4 linked regions of the Arabidopsis thaliana genome follow. The protein of the gene in region 2 interacts with the protein of the main gene of each other region in a pairwise test. Each region holds a gene or a part of one and is shown on either strand. Other genes may lie near its edges.

Region 1 (5,294 bases), 8.0 Mb from region 2:
TCGATATCGGATCCACCTCTCCCTACCCAAAAAGCATGTAAACTCACGAAAAAATAAGTTGCCATGATATAAACTAATAAATGTCTAGCATATTTCTGGTGCTTTCAAGTAACTAGCCAAAATTTCTATTCACATCTCTCTTTTTGTTTTTGAATCAATGTAAAATTTTCTTCAAAAAGTCATTGGTTACAATATATGCAGCTTTAAGCAGAATGTTTCTATTCACATCTTATCATATTAGTTATTATATAAAAGACTATATCAAATAATCAGTAACTTGTTTGGTAAGAAATTTTAAACCGCTTAGTTCAGATTATCTTTTGCTTAGTGACAACTTTTCTTTTGTTGCTTTGCTAAGTGACAACTTCTTGATTCGGTGGGTCGTCTCTTTATGTTCTCATGCTACATATGTATGTGTATATTCGGTTATTGTTTTTTGTTGACATTCATGAACATTACATGACAAGACCAGACAAGATGTTTTAGTAACCAAACACTTGTTGTTTACTCAAGATCAGTGCTCAAAGTTAGAGAAACTGCCATCAAGGAGATTTTTAAACTCCAAAATTTCAATGTAAATCACATTACAAAACGACCAAATCAATTGCGTTTTACTCTTTACATTTTATTTATAAAGAAAACAAATGCAAGATTTTTTTTTTTTTCCTTCACTTTTTATAAAACTAGAAAACATAAAGCCTCTTCATTTTTTTCCTTCTCCCTCGACCGTGTAAGTACCGTATTCGAACTTGTATTTTGTATATATATACATTTTAGACCGGACAATAATCCGGTTAATCAATAAACCGGTCTCTGTCCATTTGCAATTTCAGGGTTGTTGTCCAAAAGGGTAAGAAGTGCTCTGTTTCTTTTACTCCTTCCTCTTCCAGCTTCTTTCAACAACGCAGCAAGCCTCTGCTTCTCGTCCTCAACCTCGGGATTTGCCGTCCCGAGCTTCTCTTCTCTTGTCCCAACAACATACTCCAATATCTCTATAGCATCATCTAACCTGTAAAGCAAGTAACACATTGCTTGTACCGCAGGGAAATACCAAAAAACATAACCTAGCAAGAAAATTGTTTTAAGTTCCAAATTTACCTTCCCATTGCGTCGTACGTTCCAGCAAGGTTACTGTAAACCGCTAATGTATCGGGATGGTACGGTCCACACTCTTTCTCAAGAATAGTTTTCGCTTCTTCAAACAAATCTGCAGCTTCATTGATCGCGTAACGCTGAACGCAAGCTAGTCCCATCTGATTCAAAGCAATCCCGAAAAGAGCGGTTTTTTTCTCTCCGCTATTGCGGAACTTTGATATCGCGCTCTTGAATATGTCGTAGGACTCGGAGTAATTTCCCATCATATAAGTAACCACACCCATTTGAGCTTCAATACCTGCAATCGTGTTCTGTTGACCTGGAGCGTTTGCATATATCTTCAACGCCCGTCTCAACAACTTAAGAGCTTGATCAAGTTCATTCATTGACTGATATATCGCAGAAATCTCTATAAAACCAGTCGCAACCTCTTCCATAGGAGTTCCTGGAGTCGGTTTTAGGTAAATCTTGAGAGCGTTTTCGCAGTACGATTTGGAATCGCGTGTTTTCCCAATCTTGTTGTACAAGTCAGCAAGCCTAACGTAAACCAAAGCAACAGAGGAATGAGTCTCACCTTTTCCTTGCTTAAACACAGCTAAAGCCTTCTGGTATGCGAATATCGCTTCATCAAACCTAGCTAGCGACATGTAAGCATCACCAATACTGCAATCTACAGCAGCAACATCTTCTCTATGGTTCTGAGATGACATTGCCATGCTCGCTAAAACATAATGCTCAAGCGCAACTTCATAATCACCTTTCGCATCGCAGATAAGTCCCATCAGTTTTCTATCCGCAGCTTCTTCAATAGAAGCTGTAGCGGCAGCACCGTTTTCTTTGTGAATGTCCAATGCCATTTGACAAAGCCTTGAGGCTTCTTCAAACTGCATTGCTTGAACATGAGCTTCCGCTAAGTACCTACAAGTTTCGCCAACTCGTGCATCCGATTCTCCAAGAACTTGTCTTTGAATCTCCAAACCCGCGGTGTATAGCATAATCGAATTTTCAACTTGACCCATCAAACCATACATGTCACCAAGCTGCATACACCCTGCAAATTTCGCCAACGCGTGATCCTCACCATCTTCAATCATCGGTATCTCGATAGAACGTTCAAGAACAGGCACAGCGTCATTGTATCTCCCTAACCCTGCATATATCGCTGCCAAGATATGCAAAGACATCACCAAATTCAACCCAAGTTGTTTCTCTCCTTCCCCACATTTCTCAAACACTTTCACCGCTCTCAACGCTAAATCAAGAGCCTTGTTTAAATTCTCACCTGAAGAAACCAACTCTCTGGCTTGCTTCAACAACACCACACCAAGCTCAGGACTCTCCTCATCAACAGAAACCTTCCCCAAATCCGGTGATTTCCTCGAAGAGATCCTCGAACCCGGCATCTTCGGATTATTAGGACTCGTTTTCGCAACCTTCTTACCATTCGAAAGAGGTTTCTTCTGACTCAAGCTACCTTCTCCATTACTTTCTTCCTTCTTCTCCAAGATAATCTCTTTCTTGCTCTCTCCTTCTTCTCCTACATCTCCAACCAAATGCCTCAACTCCAAATCAATCCTAGATTCAGCTCCATACGAAATAAAACTCGCCCTGGACGGAGACTGATCATCAGAACTCTCCATTTCACAAACGTTATGATACAACTGCTCAATAGAAGCATTCATAGCTCCATCAATTGCAAGATCTATAGAACTCAGAGGACTCCTCGGTGAAGCTTGAAGGGCAGAATCGTCTTTTACCCTCTCATTGCTCTCTCCTACGTCCATGGCCTCCAAAACTCACAACTCAATTATAAATCTGAATCAATGGAGACCAAGATTTTAGATTCAAATCCGTTAAAACAACAAGATAACATCAAAAGACTCGAAATTGAGAACCATAAGTCCCTAACTAGAATTATCTAAAGCTGACATAGATTCAGTTACTAACAGAGAACAAAACCCAGAATCAAATTCAACGAAATTGAAAAGAAAAACGAAAACTTTGAAGATTTTAAGAGATAAAAATCGAACCTTTATGTGTCTTTGACTCTGAAGAAATCTGCAAGAAGGCAAAAAAAGAACAGATTCTGTTTTTTGGTAACTTAGTGTGGTTGTGTAAGAGATGAAAATGAAGGATTTGGTGTCTTGTACTTTTCACTTTTAGGTGTTTGTTTTATATCTTCACTTTCATAATCTCATAGCTAATGTTATGAGAAAGATGAAGCAACAACATTTATGCACAAACCCTTTCACTGTCCTTATATGTTTTGAAACAAAAGCAGACTTTTTTTTTTGGGTCTACATTGCTTACTTTAATTTACCTTTTAAATTGAATTATTGATTGATTATATTAAGATAATGAAGATGATAATTGACTCTTTTTGATGTGATTATATGATTATTTTTTCAAGAAAGAGATGCATAACCAGAAATTTTTTTGAAGATCATTAGGTTTGAAGATGATTGACTCTTGAAGCAATAAAAAGAAGATGACTTCTTCCCTACTTGCACTCTCTCTTTAAATAATTTATCTTTTTTCCTCAATTTTATAAATAAATTTATCTCTTTGAAAAATAATAATGAATGTCTCATCCATTTTTTTTATCATCTAAAATTTGATTAAAAATTTGCTGTGAAACCAAAGAAAATTACAAATTTTCAAAGAAGGAAAAGTAAAACCGACAGATAAAAAATAATTCCCCAAAAATTACAGCAGAAAAAAACGAGATTCTTTCTGGAAACTAAACACTATGAAATGAATGTTTCATCCATTTCAAGATTACCTTTTTTTTAATTAAAACTTTTAAAAAATATTGTTTCCTTCACATGCAATTTTTTCATGAATTTGTTTTTTTAAAGTTAAAGTTTGAGTTTTGCCCGTTAAGAATTAATTATTTTTCTTATTTATCCTAAAAGAAATATTGTTTCCTTGAAATGCAATTTTTTAGGGATTTAATGAGTTAAATTAGAACAAAAAAAAATTGAGTTTTGCAGGTTAATTAGCCAGCTAATTAAATGCTGGGGAAAGATCACAATTCACAAGTCTACGTCAAACCCTACAAATTCACAGCTGTATAATAAGTACCGTTGAGATTCCGCCACGTGTCATACTTAATCATCAATTATCTCTAATGATCATCCCATGATCTCTAATCTATATACGTAATATTAAAAACGTGAACAGTTAAAAATTTAGCCTTTTGATTGATATAATGATGCAGTGTTTTTTTTTTAGTATAGTCTTTAACTCTTTATGGAAAGAAAAATTGGACCACTGGATTTAAAGGATTGAATCACTAATTTAGTAAGAATTTTTCTTAATGACGAAATGATATGACACGTGGACTACAGCTGCATACCAGTTAGACAGCCTGGTTTTATGGTCCAGATGTGGTCCACCTTTAAGCCCATTACGGCTTTATGGGCCCTTATAGTCATCAGTGTAGGGCCTACCCAAAATGTAATTTTTATAGAACTCTCGTTCCCATATTTCATGAGTCAATTTTATTGTGAAAAAACGATAATGCGCTTAAGGCAATTTTTTCACTAGCCAACCAACAAAATATCGAAATGACTATTATTTTTATTTATTTTTTTTTTCTTGTCACAACGAAATGACTATTTATATATGTTTTTGTTAAGAGCCCATAACATTATATTATTTGGTTGGTCGGTCATATTATATATGCAAATTATGTATGACTTGGTTTCTTACAAGAGACAGAGACAACCCACACGTTTGTTCATAATTCTAAGACCTAACAACGTCTCTTCCTTCGGATTTTTATTTTTGTATATTGCATAAAGACAACTCTGTAACCACAAATACTTTATTATTTCCTATTCACAAAGTTATAAGCAATTCTTTTTTATCGTCAGTTCATAAGCAATTCATTGGATTAATTTATGAACTGAAAACAAATTGTAATCATTGACGACTGTTGGGCGGTGCTGTTTTCTTTAACTCTTTCGCCGCTCGAATCCCATATCAAATCTTATCTGTTCACAAATTATTTGGTTTTCTAAATTCCTACGCGTTTTATATTACCAACACGTTTTTGTTTTCTTCGAAAATTTTAGGTCAGAACGTATATAATTTTGACAAATTTGTCAAATACTATCTCTGACAAAAGTTTGATAAATTTTGACAAATTTGCCACAACATCAGTCATTGAATTGTACAATAACTGTCTAACAAAT
Region 2 (3,487 bases):
CTGGTAGGAAAATAATATCTAAACAGTATACTCAATATGTTTTGTTACTGAATCAAACCCTGAACAAGAATCGATCCTACAAACAGAGTTTCTGTTTACAAGGCTCAAATCAAATCTACTAAACCATTGGTATAAGATGCCAGATCCATTCTACCTTATTCCCTTTCCCTAAAAGCAGAAACTGTGATTACAATGCTCAGAGTATATTTAATGTTATCTCAGCCTCACCAAAGATGCAGTGGTTATGAGAATGAAAGATCAAAACTCCACTAATTCTTCTAACTCAACGGAAACACCTCCTTAGACAATTAGACCCGAGAATATAAAGGATGGCCTATTAATCCTAAGCATACCGAAACCGGGAAGATTACTATATGGTCTGTAAAAAGAATCTCATTCCAGTACTAAGAAGTCACATCATTCTATATACTCTCTTTCTCTATGCTTAAAGCTGTTGGCAAATTGAGCTCGAGACCAACAGATATCAACACCAGGTAACCACAATTCAACACAATGTGTTCAATAACCTCCTAGCATTTTCCAATTGCTTTTACCAATCTCTAGATATAACACCATAGTCTCTAACCAATCTAATGGAAGAAGAAGCAACGAAAATGAAATCAAGAAAACAACATTCACCCATACTTGAAGCAGGGAATCGTTTAAACAAGCAGAGTTCTTTACCACATTACAAAATTTAAATGTAAGCAAACGAAAATTACAGATTCAAATGGAGTTATCTTCAGAGTACCGAAATTTCCAAAGCGAATTTTATTAGCCAAATTGAGAACGAACCCAACATTTATGAGATCCTCAAGAACAAAAACTTACGGAATATCCCAAGGCTTAGCTTCAGGGACAGCGACGACCATACCTTGAAGCTCCTGCGTTAACACAACTTGGCAACCAAGACGCGAGTGCTTGTTCAAGATACGGGATCTAGAGCTACGCTTCAGCACATACTCCTCATCGTAAGTACGCGGCGGGAGCTTCTCGAGCCATTCCTCTGCGATCTGAACCTCGCACTCCGCTGAGCAAGCCTCGATGTCATCCAATCTATGCGATGCTGGATCTATCAGACCAGTGTGAGTGAGCGCACGAAGGAGAGTCTGGCCAGAGAGTCCAATGATGTCCTGCTTGTATCCATCGGGATCGATCGCAGAAAGCTTGACGATTCGGTCAGAGACTTTCTTCGATCCCAGAGACGGAGAAGGAGCAGACGTTGCGGATGTGCGAACGATTAGAGATCTGGTGAATGGAGAGAGTCGGTGGATTTGAGAGGAGAGTTTCTGAAGAGTCGTCGCCATCGTCGTTCCCCAATTTTTGGTCGGAGCTCAGATTTTTTGTGCTAATGGTTGAAACCGGAAAAGTGAGTGAGGGTGAAACGCTAATTTGGAGATGGGCTTCTTTATAAGCCCAAAGATAAGTTACATACTTACAAGCCCAAATTTCTAACTGGACCGTTCAATCGAACCGGTCAATATTAATCCAAATATTTTGTTTGGTTTAGTTTGGGTTGAAGAAAACATTGCTTCTATGTATTTTATGAGGCATTTAAGACAGAAAAAAATCTATAAACATTCGAATAGCCGCAAGTCCGGCCAGATCCACTCTGTTCCCATGTGATACGGTCCACCTACTTTTTCCAATAACGCGTAAGAAATTTAGGAAGTTAGAACCAAAGGCTTAACGAAACAAGCCACATTTAACTAAATACTGCTTGGTGGACACACATCCGACGTGGCTATCGTTCATTGGTCTGTTCCATCTATGGAATGAGAAGCACAAGATTACTGCTCCATTCCAAATTCCGCCTTCAATAATTTGATAAAATTTTGATCCACTCTGTTTCAAGCTGTCACCAGAATGTCGTCTTCTTCTTCTTCTCCTTCTTCGTCTTCCCTTAAACCCATTAATTCAATTTCCTGATAAACGAGCAGAGAGAGATCTGTCAAAATCACAAACCGTGAATTCGGGAAGAATAAGCCGATGATGCTTCGTATTGTTCAAATCGCGTTTCTATGTCTCGTTCTCGTCGCCGGGATCTCGATCTCCACGGCGATATCAGAGACTGAGACTATATACGAGATCCTCCTGGCAAACGGATTACCTTCGGGGATATTCCCGAAAGGTGTCAGAGAATTCACCTTCGACGTCGAAACGGGACGATTCTCGGTTTATTTGAATCAGGCATGCGAGGCTAAATACGAGACTGAGATACATTACGACGCCAATATTACGGGGACTATAGGTTCTGCTCAAATCTCTGATTTGTCTGGAATCTCGGCGCAAGAGCTATTCTTGTGGTTTCCGGTTAAAGGAATCCGAGTCGACGTGCCGAGTTCTGGTCTTATATACTTCGACGTTGGTGTTGTTCGAAAGCAATATTCTTTGTCTTTGTTCGAGACTCCGAGAGATTGCGTTCCGGTTCGTGGGATTCACAAGGTATGCAGAATGAGTTTTTTCAATTGAACCTTTAAAGTTCTTGAAAATTATTGAAGGATACTAATGGGCTATAGTGTGAATAGAGATAATTCAAATGTTCTTATCGCTGGATTTTGTGGTTTTTCAATGTCGAGCTTTTGAATATTCACAAGTTTCAGGCTTGCCACTAAGAATTCAAATGAGAATCCTTTTTCAAAGTTTTTTTAGCTTATCTCATTCGTCATCATCTGAAACTTTTGAGATTCCTTTCAATGGTCATTTTTTCTCCATTCTTGACTTGGTTGCGATTTTTGATTGGTCAGGAACTGTTAGACATGTGACATGAAGAATTATCTTTAGAGCTAGGAAAGATTGTTCCTTTTTAGGGTTATGTTCTCCATTCTTGAATTGGTTGAGATTTTTTTATCGGTGAAGAACTGTTAGACTTGTGAAATTGGGAATATCTTTCGAACTAGGAAAGATGGTTTTGAAAGTTTTGCATTGATCAGATTCAATCATGTAATGGAAAATAAGCTAATGTGTGCTCAATGGGTCTTCTTGCAGGTTGAGTTGCCATTGTACCGAGTAGATCAAAATCTTGGGAGAAACATCATTTAGCAAGAGTTTTAAAGAATTGTTGTATACCATACCAGAAAGAAAGGAAGATAGATGTTCTCATCAATCAATTCTTGAAGATACTTCAACTGTTTTGGTCTCAAATCTTAGGCATGATTCAAAATCAAATTGCTTCATTCTTTCCCTCCCCATTCCAGTTTTGCTTCTGTAATTCGTTCTCAGATTAGGCCGGGGACTGAACCGAGGAGAGAATCTGTGGTTTTGAAAAGATGCTAAAGGGATGGCCCAGATTTTGTTGAAGTGATGATAACTGTGAGGTGATGAATGTTTTGTGTTGTATTCTTGTGTCATGTCTAAAACAGATATAATAAATCCTATATTTAGCCAAATAAGTGTTATAGAAAATTGGCAATTTGCAATCATTTCTCTTTCACCGAATATCTGGCTGCTTTGTTTTTGGTAAATGAATCTAAATTTTACAGTCAAA
Region 3 (5,589 bases), on a different chromosome or scaffold from region 2:
AGAATCAAGCACAGAACCAACAGCCTCACATTTAGTCACAAGGAAATATCTGACACAGAGACAATAGAGAAACACACATGTTAGTAACTGTTGATTTCAAGAATCGAACCAGAGTGATTATCCATGTAAAGAAGAAGCAAAAGAGAAGTCTTACTTTGTAGATTTGCTTGAAATGTCGTTAACAGTGAAATCAATGAGACGAATTAGACCCAAGTTCTGGATCTTCCCAGAAATGATTTCAGGTGTGAGTGAAGCAGTAAACATTGCTTTGACTTTCGTCTTTCCGTCATTTGCACTAAATCTGTCAACCAAAATCAAAACAGATCCATCAGAACAAAATCGGTAACTAAAACCCAAAACTAGGCAATATACAAACTATTATCAACAAACCCAGATCTCTTCTATCATAGAGTCATCAAAGTCGTTGCATATCATAATCTAGCTATACAATTGTGATTGAGAGAATATAACACTGACCTAAAGCTGGAACAAGCGAGATTTAAGAAATCAAGTAAAACCCAGATCATGAAAAGCCAAGGAAACTTACGTATAGCGATTGCCGATAGGTTTAAGATCCACAACTTGAACAACGATCTCAGATCGATCGGAAGACGAATCAAAGGATGGGTTTGACAAAACGGTGGAGATGGCATCTGGGGTCACCGAAGTCTGCATCTTTCTCTCTAGATATTGAAAAATGAAACGTTTGGTTTCTCTTTAATCAGAATGGTGAAAACTAAAAGCCGTGAGATAGTGAGAAGAATGAGAGAGAGGTACGAGGGTTTTTGTAAAGGAGAGAGCTTTAAGCGGGAGCTATTAAATTCGATTAATTGTTCCCCCGCCGATTTCAATTTCTATTTTTTTGGCAAAAAACTCTTACCGCTTCTTTTCAGTATCTTTCCATTTTTTTGGCGCATTTTGTTTTGTTTGATAATGGACTTTGTATGCGAAAGAAACTGTGTTACAAAAGCCTTTCACTTCAGGCCCATAGTTTATGGTTTTGTTTTTATGTGTGGGTCTTGAATCCACCGTATCACACGTTATGATTCATAAATATCTAAAATTTATTTCCAACAAATACAATTTTTTTGTTTCTTAAAGAACACATACGATATTATTATTTCAGAAAAAGATTAAATACAAAATCCCCAGGATCAAAATCAAACACCAATTCCAGATTAAACAATATCAACAATCTTTAATGTTTTTGACTTTTTTTTTTCTCTGAATGTTTTTGACAATTGAAAAAAATAATTCTACGCATTGCGTGAGGCAAACATTTAAAATTTTAATTTATATAAAGAGAAAATTTATACTTCTTGACTTGGGAAAAAAAAACTTGCTGAGGTCCTTACTTGATATGAGCTGTCAACTACTAGTGTGAGCCGTACAAATATAATCGGACGGTTCAGATCAATACATTGCGAGCCAGTCAAACTTCAAGTATTGACTAATCAACATCAACGTTTATTACACTAATTTATTATTGTACCCCTTATTTTCCAAAAACATAATACTTTTATCCCTATTGTATCCAATAGCTCTAAAAAAATCCACCATAAAATGTGTTTAATGAAATTCGATTATCTCTGACGACAACATTATCAAAAATCAAGACAAGAGATAGAACATAAAATGTTCAAATTCGTAAAAGTAATTGAAACAAATTAAATTCATTTCGAAGTTTATTAATTACATTTTGACCCCCAAATTTAAGTTAATTAGACTTACCATCCCCATGGTTTTCGTCCCGCCATATGGGGAAGTCAATGGACGAATCAATCTCAATTAGATTCGGGGCGGCCCAAAAATTTATCATTTTCTAAACCTTTCGTAATCTACGAAATTACGGGATCGCCTTCGTTGGAATACTAATTCCATTTTTCAACTTTGTTTTTATAAATACAGTTTACGTGCACCACAACTTTTCTTCTTTCCCTTCTTCTTCCCCAATAATCTCGCTGAAACTCTCTTGCTCTTGCTTCTAAAAATCTGTTCTTTGAGACTTTGATCACACAGTTATCAAAATCATAATCTCTTCTTTCCTGGTTTTTTTTTTTTTCTTCTTCTTCTTCCCGTTTCACGGTACGTTTACTCTGTTCGATCACCGAGTGTATGATAAAATGTTTCTGTGAAATCAAATAACATATCACTTTCTAATAAACATCAAAATTTCTCCTTTTTTACAGAAACAAGAAGTTTTTTTGGGAAAGCCGTTGACTTGACTTTTTCTTTGGGGTGTTGTGTGGGAGCTTATAGTATGGTACCATAAGTGGGAGCTTATAGTTTGGGGTGTTGTGTGGGAGCTTATAGTATGAGGAAAAATGTTAGATTTGAAGAATGCTTCACTGATTTTTTACCATAAGTATGTCAACTGGATTAAGCTTAAGTAGTAATGGTTTTTACTATGTTCATGTGGGGATTTCTCTTCCTCTCTGTTTACTTCATTCCGAGATGACTTGAGATTTTTTCAAAGTATAGTTCTTGGAGTTAAGCTTACCTAGTAATCACTTTATATAACATCCCTTCGTTTACATTTGTGCTTTCACCTGGAAACACTTTAGACTTTTCTCTCTTCTGCCGTGTGTATTTAGTTGTCTAGTCAAATTTAAGTTGAGTTTAGGCTCTAGTCTTTGGTTTTGGTTATGGCAGAGTTTGATTCCAAGGTTCCTGTTTCCGGAATGAACAATCATGTCTTTGAGGCATGTCACCATGTTGTTAAGGCACTGAGGGCATCTGATAACAACCTGGATGCCAATTTGAGAAAGCTCCTAAGTGACCTAGAGATGCATTTGTCAACATTTGGGATTGCTGATACCAAAGTTGAAGATGCAGGATTCTCTGAGATCAAGAAGAGATTCAAAGAAGCTGTGAAGAGAATCCGCAGTTGGGAGACAAACCAGTCGACGATGTTTGAAGCTGGTCTGTCTGAAGCTGATCAGTTCTTTCAAGCCCTGTATGACGTTCAAACAGTTCTTGTGGGTTTCAAAGCTTTGCCCATGAAAACTAACCAGATGGAGAAAGATGTTTACAACCAAGCTACGGTTGCTCTTGACATCGCGATGTTGAGGCTTGAGAAAGAGCTCTGTGATGTTCTGCATCAGCACAAACGGCATGTACAGCCTGATTACTTGGCTGTTAGTTCCCGTAGAAAAGATATTGTGTACGACGAGTCCTTTGTCTCCCTAGATGATGAAGTTATTGTCGAAGCTTCTTCACATGAAGATGATGAACAGATATCGGACTTTTATAATTCTGATTTGGTTGATCCCATCGTACTTCCTCACATCAAAGCTATTGCAAACGCCATGTTTGCTTGCGAGTATGATCAACCATTCTGTGAAGCTTTCATCGGCGTTCAAAGAGAAGCTCTGGAGGAGTATATGGTTACTCTCGAAATGGAAAGATTCAGCTGCGTTGATGTTCTCAGAATGGACTGGGAGGATTTGAATGGTGCAATGAGAAAATGGACAAAGGTTGTTAAGATCATTACTCAGGTCTATCTCGCCAGTGAAAAACAGCTATGTGATCAGATTTTGGGAGACTTTGAGTCAATTTCTACAGCTTGCTTCATTGAAATCTCAAAAGATGCAATTCTATCACTCCTCAACTTTGGAGAAGCTGTGGTGCTGAGATCTTGCAAGCCAGAAATGCTTGAGCGCTTCCTTAGTATGTATGAGGTTTCAGCAGAGATTCTCGTGGATGTCGATAACCTCTTCCCCGATGAAACAGGCTCGTCTTTAAGAATTGCATTTCACAACCTGTCAAAAAAACTAGCTGATCATACAACCACAACCTTCTTAAAGTTCAAAGACGCAATAGCCTCAGATGAATCCACACGCCCCTTTCATGGAGGCGGGATTCATCACCTGACCAGGTATGTAATGAACTACTTGAAGCTTCTCCCGGAGTATACCGACTCACTAAACTCACTGCTTCAGAACATACACGTTGACGACTCCATCCCCGAGAAAACAGGAGAAGATGTCCTCCCTTCGACATTCTCTCCAATGGCTAGACACCTCAGGTCAATCGTCACAACTCTAGAATCCAGCCTTGAGCGAAAAGCTCAGCTGTACGCAGACGAAGCACTGAAATCCATTTTCCTGATGAACAACTTCCGTTACATGGTCCAGAAGGTAAAGGGATCAGAGCTGAGACGCTTGTTTGGAGACGAATGGATCAGGAAGCACATTGCAAGCTACCAATGCAATGTCACTAACTACGAGAGATCCACATGGAGCTCCATACTCGCTTTGCTCAGAGACAACAACGACTCTGTAAGAACCCTGAGAGAAAGATGCAGACTTTTCAGCCTTGCATTTGATGATGTTTACAAGAACCAAACCCGTTGGTCAGTCCCTGATTCAGAGCTCCGCGATGATCTTCACATCTCGACCTCTGTCAAGGTTGTTCAGTCTTACAGAGGATTTCTTGGAAGAAATGCAGTTCGCATAGGCGAAAAACACATCCGATACACTTGTGAAGACATTGAGAATATGCTCCTTGATCTCTTTGAATGTTTGCCATCTCCAAGATCACTGCGCAGCTCTCGTAAGAGATGATGATGATGATGACTTGAGCCTAATGGACTCCATCTTTGTTCTTTTGATCTTTTGTTATTTACTCACTTATGCAATGTTTTGTGATTGCTTACATGCAAATAAAGTTGTAGAATTTTTATACTCCATTGTGGGGATGTAATAGTAATTGGCTATCTTGTCACTATGTCATCTTTGACATGCTTAATACAAATTCAATGTTTAAGTCGGATTTAACATTTATAATGACGATGGTTTTTTGGTTAACTCTATGGACTCATCTGATTTAACTGAGGTATGGACTTGGGCTATTTGACTAGGAGATATCTTTGGTGACTTCTTACTACTACTCACCTCTGTATTCTCTGCTGGATTTTGGCATATGCAACAGCAAAGTGTTGTTGATGGAACAAGTGAAGGAAGTGAGCTAGCAGTGGAAAGAAGACTGGGCTGATTATGAATGTCAGTAATGACGTCTCTCCCCAGTCAAGAAGATAACTAGAGAATTATGCTTAGAAGATTTGATGGTAGCCTTGCTATTCTCCATCTATTCTCATCTTCGGAAAATTGTCTAAACTATAGTACCCTTATGTCCAAAAACCTACAATCTTCTGTCAAAATATGAGAAGGAACTTTTTTTGGACCGTTTGATTCCTGCATTCGAGTATGAAGCAGATGCCAAATGTTTCTCTTACTTGTCTTGCCTGAAAAGTTATATAAAACTGAATAAGCTGATTCAATACCAATCTTTTACCCATATCCTCATATGTTGGACCATTACTAAAGGGATAGAGAATAACTGCAAGATGATGAATGCTCATGCCAAAACTTCATCTACTAAGCCACTACCCTCTCAACTCGGTTCCAAAAAAAAAAAAAAAAAAGTCTGCAAATTCAGGAATGGAAACAAAACTAGAGAAACGCTCTAAATAGCCTAAAACAGCCCACCCAGTTCCCACTTAAAACCAAAGGTTGGTTCAGCAGGCAGTAGCAACAGCATTTTTCTCCACAGGTAACTCGGTCTCTTTCACCACTTTCGATTCTTTAG
Region 4 (6,263 bases), on a different chromosome or scaffold from region 2:
ATAATAAAGAGTAATGGATAATTAAACCCAGCCCATTAAGTTTCATAAGCCCATTTTACTCTACTGTCTTCTTTCTCTTTTTTTTGACAATCTTTACTTTCTTCTTCTAAGCTCTATAAGAGAGACCATCCTCCTCTAGCTTGAAGCAAACGAAAAGCTTTTGAAGAACAGAGGAACAAGAAGAAGAAAGATGTTCAGGAACCAGTACGACACAGATGTGACAACATGGAGTCCCACAGGTCGACTATTCCAAGTCGAATACGCCATGGAAGCTGTGAAACAAGGCTCCGCAGCAATAGGACTCAGATCTCGCTCTCATGTCGTCCTCGCTTGTGTCAACAAAGCACAATCAGAGCTCTCTTCTCATCAAAGGAAGATCTTTAAAGTCGATGATCATATTGGTGTTGCTATTGCTGGTCTCACTGCTGATGGTCGTGTTCTCTCTCGATATATGAGATCTGAGTCTATTAATCACTCTTTTACTTATGAGTCTCCTCTTCCTGTTGGTCGTCTTGTTGTTCATCTTGCTGATAAAGCTCAGGTAAATTGAGATTTTTGGGTTAACTTTTGAATTTTGACCTAGAATTTGCTAAAGGGTTTAGTTTTATGATGTGTGAGTATCTGAAAGTTTGAAGCTTTATGTAATTGGAGTAAAGTTTAGGTTTTTATTAGCAATGTGGCCAATTTTATTTGTAGAATGTGTGTGTTGTTATGCAAGTAGTGATATTGGTTTGTGATCAAGTCTTAGTGATTGGGAATTAGAGATTCTTGTGTTGTTAATCATATCCAGTTCTGTTGCTAGTTGCTTAATCCGATTAGAAAGAGTTAACCTGTATACCCACTTTGACGATAGAAGTGTATAAGAATGTGATGATTTTGGTCGTTTGGTTGTTTCTGTGTTGTCATCGTCTGTTCTCTTTGCTTGATAGAGTTGTTTTTGCTTGCAATTCTAGAATAAATATACGTCTTTGTTGATCTCTTTTTGGTTTTGTGGTTTTGACTTGTATTACTTTGCATTTGTTTACTTACTTGTAGTTGTAGTATGTCCTGGCCACTTTATTTACTTGCCTAATGAAGTATATTTTCAGTAAGATGTTGGTTTACAGTTGTGATAGAAATTTGTGCTACATGTTCACTACTTTTGGTGTTAAACGTAGTGTTCTCAAGTTAGATGATGTGTTCACAATTTTTAAAAGGTTTGATTGCTACGTCCCACTTACTTTCATGTCTGTCAAAAATTAAGTTAGCTGCTGTATCTACATTTTCAATTGATTTCTGAGAACGTATTGATATCAGTCTTGTAGTTTGAACAACACTCTGATTTCATTCAAATGTTAAGTCATTTGTTTGTCTTGTATTAAACATCTTCATAAATTATCTTTGAGCAGGTATGTACCCAACGATCATGGAAACGGCCTTATGGTGTGGGTTTGCTGGTAGGTGGATTGGACGAGTCAGGAGCTCACCTCTACTACAACTGCCCTAGCGGAAACTACTTTGAATATCAAGCATTCGCTATCGGGTCTCGTTCACAAGCTGCGAAAACCTATCTGGAGCGCAAATTCGAGAGCTTCCAAGAATCATCAAAAGAAGATCTGATAAAAGATGCTATTATGGCCATAAGGGAAACTTTGCAAGGGGAAACACTGAAGAGCTCGCTCTGCACTGTTTCTGTTCTAGGAGTCGATGAACCATTCCATTTCTTGGACCAGGAAAGCATTCAAAAGGTGATTGATACGTTTGAGAAGGTTCCTGAGGAAGAGGAAGATGCTGGTGAGGGTGAGGCCGAACCCGAAGCTGCTCCTGGTGCTGCTGGAACTGGTGAACAAGGTGGTTCAGGTGATCAAGATGTTGCACCAATGGAAATTTGAGCAAGAGGGAATGAGTTCAAAGTTGGATTTTCTAACCAATTTTCTTGTGTGTAGCTCTTTGATATGTTCCAACTTCCAAGTACAATTGTGGTTTTTATTCGGCTTTGTTTATTTAACAGCTTGGAACAAGGAGTTATTGAGTGCCACTAGCTTATGTTTAGTCCTACTTAAGTCAAATCTGTCACATGATAATAATAATCGGCGAATCGCCAACCTAGAGAGTGTATCAAACAGACACCATTTTGAATGAGAGAAACAGCGAGAGAAAGAATGAAAGATTAATCCAACTTTGTTTCTCTTTCTGCAAATTGTTCCTCGAAGAAATGACTTCATAATGCAACCATACATTATTGAGCAAGGATGATAAATCTCCTGCTTGCTCGGAAGAAAAGTTAAAACCAAAATAATATCTCTCTTGACCTTCCAGAGAATCAATCCTGTCTTGAAATGATTTCAACACACAAAAACAACCTGAGATTGGAATTAGAAGTACTGAGTAGACGGAACCTTGGCGACGGGTTTACCACCTGGTAAGACATTGTCGGGAAGAATCAACTCCGGTGGAGTTTCACGGGTAATCCCAAGCATTGAATCGTAATCCTCGTCCTTGCGTGCATACTTCTTCCTAAGCGCTCTCTCAACCTCGATCTGCTCAAATGACTTTGAATTCTCTGAGGCGTGAATCTGTGCGAGATTGATGTAATTCTTTGCTGACTGTGAGATGTATACTATCTCTTCATCTGTTAACTTTCTCATGAACTTTGCTGGATTTCCTCCCCACACCTGCCACATGAAACTGATAACTTATAGATATGTCCTTGTAAATATATTCTCAGGTTGACGGTTGAAGAAAGTAGTTCAAAAGCATAGCGATATAAGAAATCCGTCTAATTCCTCATAAAACATTGGAAACACAAGAACCCTCTGTTACTCCCAACTCACCCTTGTTTCATATACAAGTAGAATTGCAACGGAAACAAAGGTGGTTCTCAGATTTAGACGATATATAAATACTATTTACTCTTCTTTTTGATCAAAATATAATACAATTTACAGGCATATCATTTCATTAACTAATTCTGTATCAACTAAATTGTAAGCAAAGCAAAAGTGGATCTACTTGAAGAAGTTCAGCTGGTCAAGCCTTAGCTACAGGTCAGCGTAGGACTAAATGCAGCAGACTACAGCTGCTATTACTTGGTTAATTAGCAGTTCGTTATTAGGCTTGGTAGAGCTTCAGGGTCCGTGATAAGTAAACCTAGCTAGAGTTCTATTTTTGGTTCTTGATACTTTGGATTTTCTCGTTCAGTTTAGTGAGAAATAAAGCAGTTTCCAGTTCCAGTCTTATCACAAACTCCGTAAGCAGTAAACCAGAAAAGATAAAGTGGAAAGAAAGAAACCTCTCCAGAAGGGATTCGCGTGTTCTGTTTCACAAGAGAACCAGCAGCAACCATGGCATGTTTCTCAACCACCACACCATCAAGTAGTGTTGCTCCCATACCAACAAAAGCATCATCCTCAACAGTACACCCATGAATGACAGCACTGTGACCTGCTCCGTTTCATTTTACAAACAAAACCTTTAACTAACAATCGTGTAACACAACATAAAAACAGATACTTCAAAACTGATAAATCGCTTTTTAAGGTTTACCTACTGTTACATTGTCCCCAATCAGAGTAGGTAGAACCTTGCCACTTATGTTGGTCTTTGCAACATGTACAAGCGTATTATCTTGGATATTCGTCCCAGATCCAACACTGATGTTATTCACATCACCTGCACAAGTTAGAAACCCAGATTAACATACAATAAGTTTCACAGCTACTTCATGACACATTTTATCGACAGTACAATAAATCTATGTCCAATGATCAGGACAGTAACGTATAACAGCGATACAAGATTATTAGAAGGTAAAGAGAACTTCATTTCCTAAAACTAAACTATGACTACTTTGCACAATATACTGCTGCAAAATTTGGTACTTCTATCGAACCAAAGGCCATTAAGACTTTCTAGAAGTAATAAAGCCTCACCTCGAAGAACACAGCCATACCAAATCGACGAGCCTTTTCCGATCTGAACATCACCAATAACAGAAGCACTCGGAGCCACAAACACATCTTTATCCACCAATGGTGATTTATCAAACACATTCATCAACGTCCGATGCCTCGACACTGAAAACAAACACAAATTTCTCGAATCAAATTTTTTCAATCTAAGCCACAAATTTCTCCAATCAAAGGTGAAGACACAAATTAGAGATAACGAATTGGATCTAGGGTTTCAATAGAGAGTATTAAGTGGAAGGATCTGGAAGCTTACGATGTTCCTCGATACGGTGACTTCCTTGAAGAAGAGAACCAACGCGATCAAGAGCTTGACCAGTTCCACGAATCCAGTTACCCACAGTGTAAATTGCTCGTCCTAGGGTTCCCATTTTTTTGTGATTCTCCGATTACCCAAAGTGTGAAAATGAGAAGGCTTTGTTGTTTTTGGTGTCGCTCCACCAGATAGAGAGAGGTTTATGGAGGCGTATTGATGGGAGGATTTTTTTTTTTAACTCGAGTGAGTTCGTTTATTTTGTTGACCTCTAAATTTTTAGAGTATGGAGTGGTAACTGGTAAGCTAAACCAAACCGAAATTTATTGGTTGGACTTACAGAGATTGTGAATACAAAATCCGGATAGATTCGTTTTGCAATGTAAGGAGATGGAACAAAGCTTTCAGGAGACAAACACAAAAATGAGTAAAATAATTAATATAATTTAGCAAAGAAAATAAAGAGATAAAAATAGAGATATTAGCTTATATTGTGCATTGGATATTGGAAGTATTGCATAAAGCAAAGAAATAGTTTTTAGTATAAGGATTGGAAAAAACATTGTTTGTATCTAAAATGGGGTCAAGAATGTAGAAGATGGAGTTTCTTGGGTGTTTTTCTTGGAGTTATACTAGAAAGAAGTCGGGCAAGTGATATTTACGCGTGGGCGATTTCTCTCTCAAATTTTTTTCTTCTTATAATCACAATCTCTTGTTCCGTCAATAAGTTTTTTCGTTGACTCCAGCGACGAAGAAACCCATTGGGACATGGTGCTTCAACCGTGATCCGCTACATCTTCTCGGCAATTCAATCTATTCAAAATCAAGGGAGCAGTGGAGGGCAAATGCGGCATTAGGGGAGTGCAAGAGGAGCAATTGCACAGGATCCAAAAATTATTTGATCAAAATTAAAGGGTAAAATAAAAAAATTTATCAAATTTGAGGTCAAAAAGATAATTTTGACTAAATCTGAGGGCCATAATAAAATTTTAACTAAATGTAAGGGCCAAACTCAAAATATTTAGTATAAAAGGGCTAAATTTGAAAATTTGTACAGTGACAGAGAATATATTGAGTTGGCCCTGGTGGAGGGGAGAAGATTATGCGAGACACTGTCGGTAAGAGCTATATCGGTGGTGTGGCTTCACGGAGAGGAAGGATGAGACTTCACAGTGAAGAACAAGGGCTGACGGCGGTTAGGTCGGAAGTCTAAAGATTCTGGAGGTTTCATTGGGTCGCCGCTTGATGGGGGAGGTCGACTCCGCTTCGGTGAGGCTTTACCACCGTCGATGGTCTTGAGATCTACTCACTACTGCCGTCAACTCTCTCGACTGAGCTATGAGATTCATGACTATGGCAACCCGGATCGCCTCTTCCTCCTCAAAACTGCTCTACGGTGGCAGGAGGACAACGGATCCTGAATTACCATCTCCGTTCGACGAATCTCGTCTAGGCTCCCCAAAGGGTTTCTGTTCCGGTGAGATTCTGCAATTCTTGGACGGCGGCTCAGATCGTGTTTTACGATATGAGATTAGGATTTTCAACTTTCGGTTTAGATCGGTTTTGTAATAGATGGTTTAGTCTGGTTATATGTAAGTGGATTGAGTCTAAGGGAAAATGTATGAGCCTAAATCCGGAAATAGTCCATTGGACCTTATTTATAACATTGAAAACCATTTTACAAAAAAAAAGATGGAGTCTCTTTTCTTAGGGTCTCCACCTCTCTTTATAGTCTTTTCCTTCCTCCTATGTATCTTTATTTGGCCATTAGGTACATATCTAGCTCATAAAATAACTCTCATAATTAATTCGTAAACTTGAATGGCAAGTTTACTCCTTAAACCATGACCATTAATTCATAAATTTAATCACAAATTAATATCAAGATTTAACCACCTTTCTTATGCAAGATGTACATTCTTTGCTCTGTAAAGTGATGGAACTTGGATGCGTAAGATGGATTTGTCGTGCGCGATCCGGTATCAACATAAGCTTGAGTTCTTTGAGTAAGGTTATTTGCTTGAAGACTAATATTCTTGTAATGCTGTTGGATATGAATTTGG

The links.
Region 1: the proteins of AT3G07480 (region 2) and KLCR2 interact in a two-hybrid assay, tested with the Arabidopsis thaliana proteins (one large-scale study listed by BioGRID).
Region 3: the proteins of AT3G07480 (region 2) and EXO70E2 interact in a two-hybrid assay, tested with the Arabidopsis thaliana proteins (one large-scale study listed by BioGRID).
Region 4: the proteins of AT3G07480 (region 2) and GAMMA CA2 interact in a two-hybrid assay, tested with the Arabidopsis thaliana proteins (one large-scale study listed by BioGRID).

The regions. Positions count from the first base shown.
Region 1 is NC_003074.8:10,379,715-10,385,008, forward strand, and holds KLCR2 (Tetratricopeptide repeat (TPR)-like superfamily protein), read right to left. Parts: upstream 3,536-5,294; 5' UTR 3,126-3,535; intron 2,945-3,125; exon of another isoform or gene 2,911-2,944; 5' UTR 2,880-2,910; coding exon 1,099-2,879; coding exon of another isoform or gene 1,095-1,098; exon of another isoform or gene 1,010-1,094; coding exon 799-1,009; 3' UTR 516-798; downstream 1-515. Other genes in the region: AT3G27950 (GDSL-like Lipase/Acylhydrolase superfamily protein), read left to right, coding at 1-57.
Region 2 is NC_003074.8:2,386,846-2,390,332, reverse strand, and holds AT3G07480 (2Fe-2S ferredoxin-like superfamily protein), read right to left. Parts: upstream 1,631-3,487; 5' UTR 1,308-1,630; coding exon 828-1,307; 3' UTR 510-827; downstream 1-509. Other genes in the region: AT3G07470 (transmembrane protein, putative (Protein of unknown function, DUF538)), read left to right, coding at 1,990-2,445, 2,989-3,042.
Region 3 is NC_003076.8:24,551,967-24,557,555, forward strand, and holds EXO70E2 (exocyst subunit exo70 family protein E2), read left to right. Parts: upstream 1-1,777; 5' UTR 1,778-2,645; coding exon 2,646-4,565; 3' UTR 4,566-5,077; downstream 5,078-5,589. Other genes in the region: RPA70D (Replication factor-A protein 1-like protein), read right to left, coding at 1-49, 155-301, 548-675; ECT3 (evolutionarily conserved C-terminal region 3), read right to left, coding at 5,519-5,589. UniProt on the Arabidopsis thaliana protein: Influences the subcellular localization patterns of other exocyst complex proteins (e.g. SEC5A, SEC15A, SEC15B and EXO84B) leading to their recruitment to exocyst, well-defined large punctate structures throughout the cytosol.
Region 4 is NC_003070.9:17,319,030-17,325,292, forward strand, and holds GAMMA CA2 (gamma carbonic anhydrase 2), read right to left. Parts: upstream 4,456-6,263; 5' UTR 4,319-4,455; coding exon 4,204-4,318; intron 4,056-4,203; coding exon 3,912-4,055; intron 3,652-3,911; coding exon 3,526-3,651; intron 3,424-3,525; coding exon 3,272-3,423; intron 2,655-3,271; coding exon 2,355-2,654; 3' UTR 1,872-2,354; coding exon of another isoform or gene 1,389-1,871; 3' UTR 542-1,388; downstream 1-541. Other genes in the region: PAF2 (20S proteasome alpha subunit F2), read left to right, coding at 191-541, 1,389-1,871; AT1G47265 (uncharacterized protein), read left to right, coding at 5,539-5,769. UniProt on the Arabidopsis thaliana protein: Enzyme involved in the catabolism of H(2)CO(3) but that does not mediates the reversible hydration of carbon dioxide. Mediates complex I assembly in mitochondria and respiration. Binds HCO(3)-.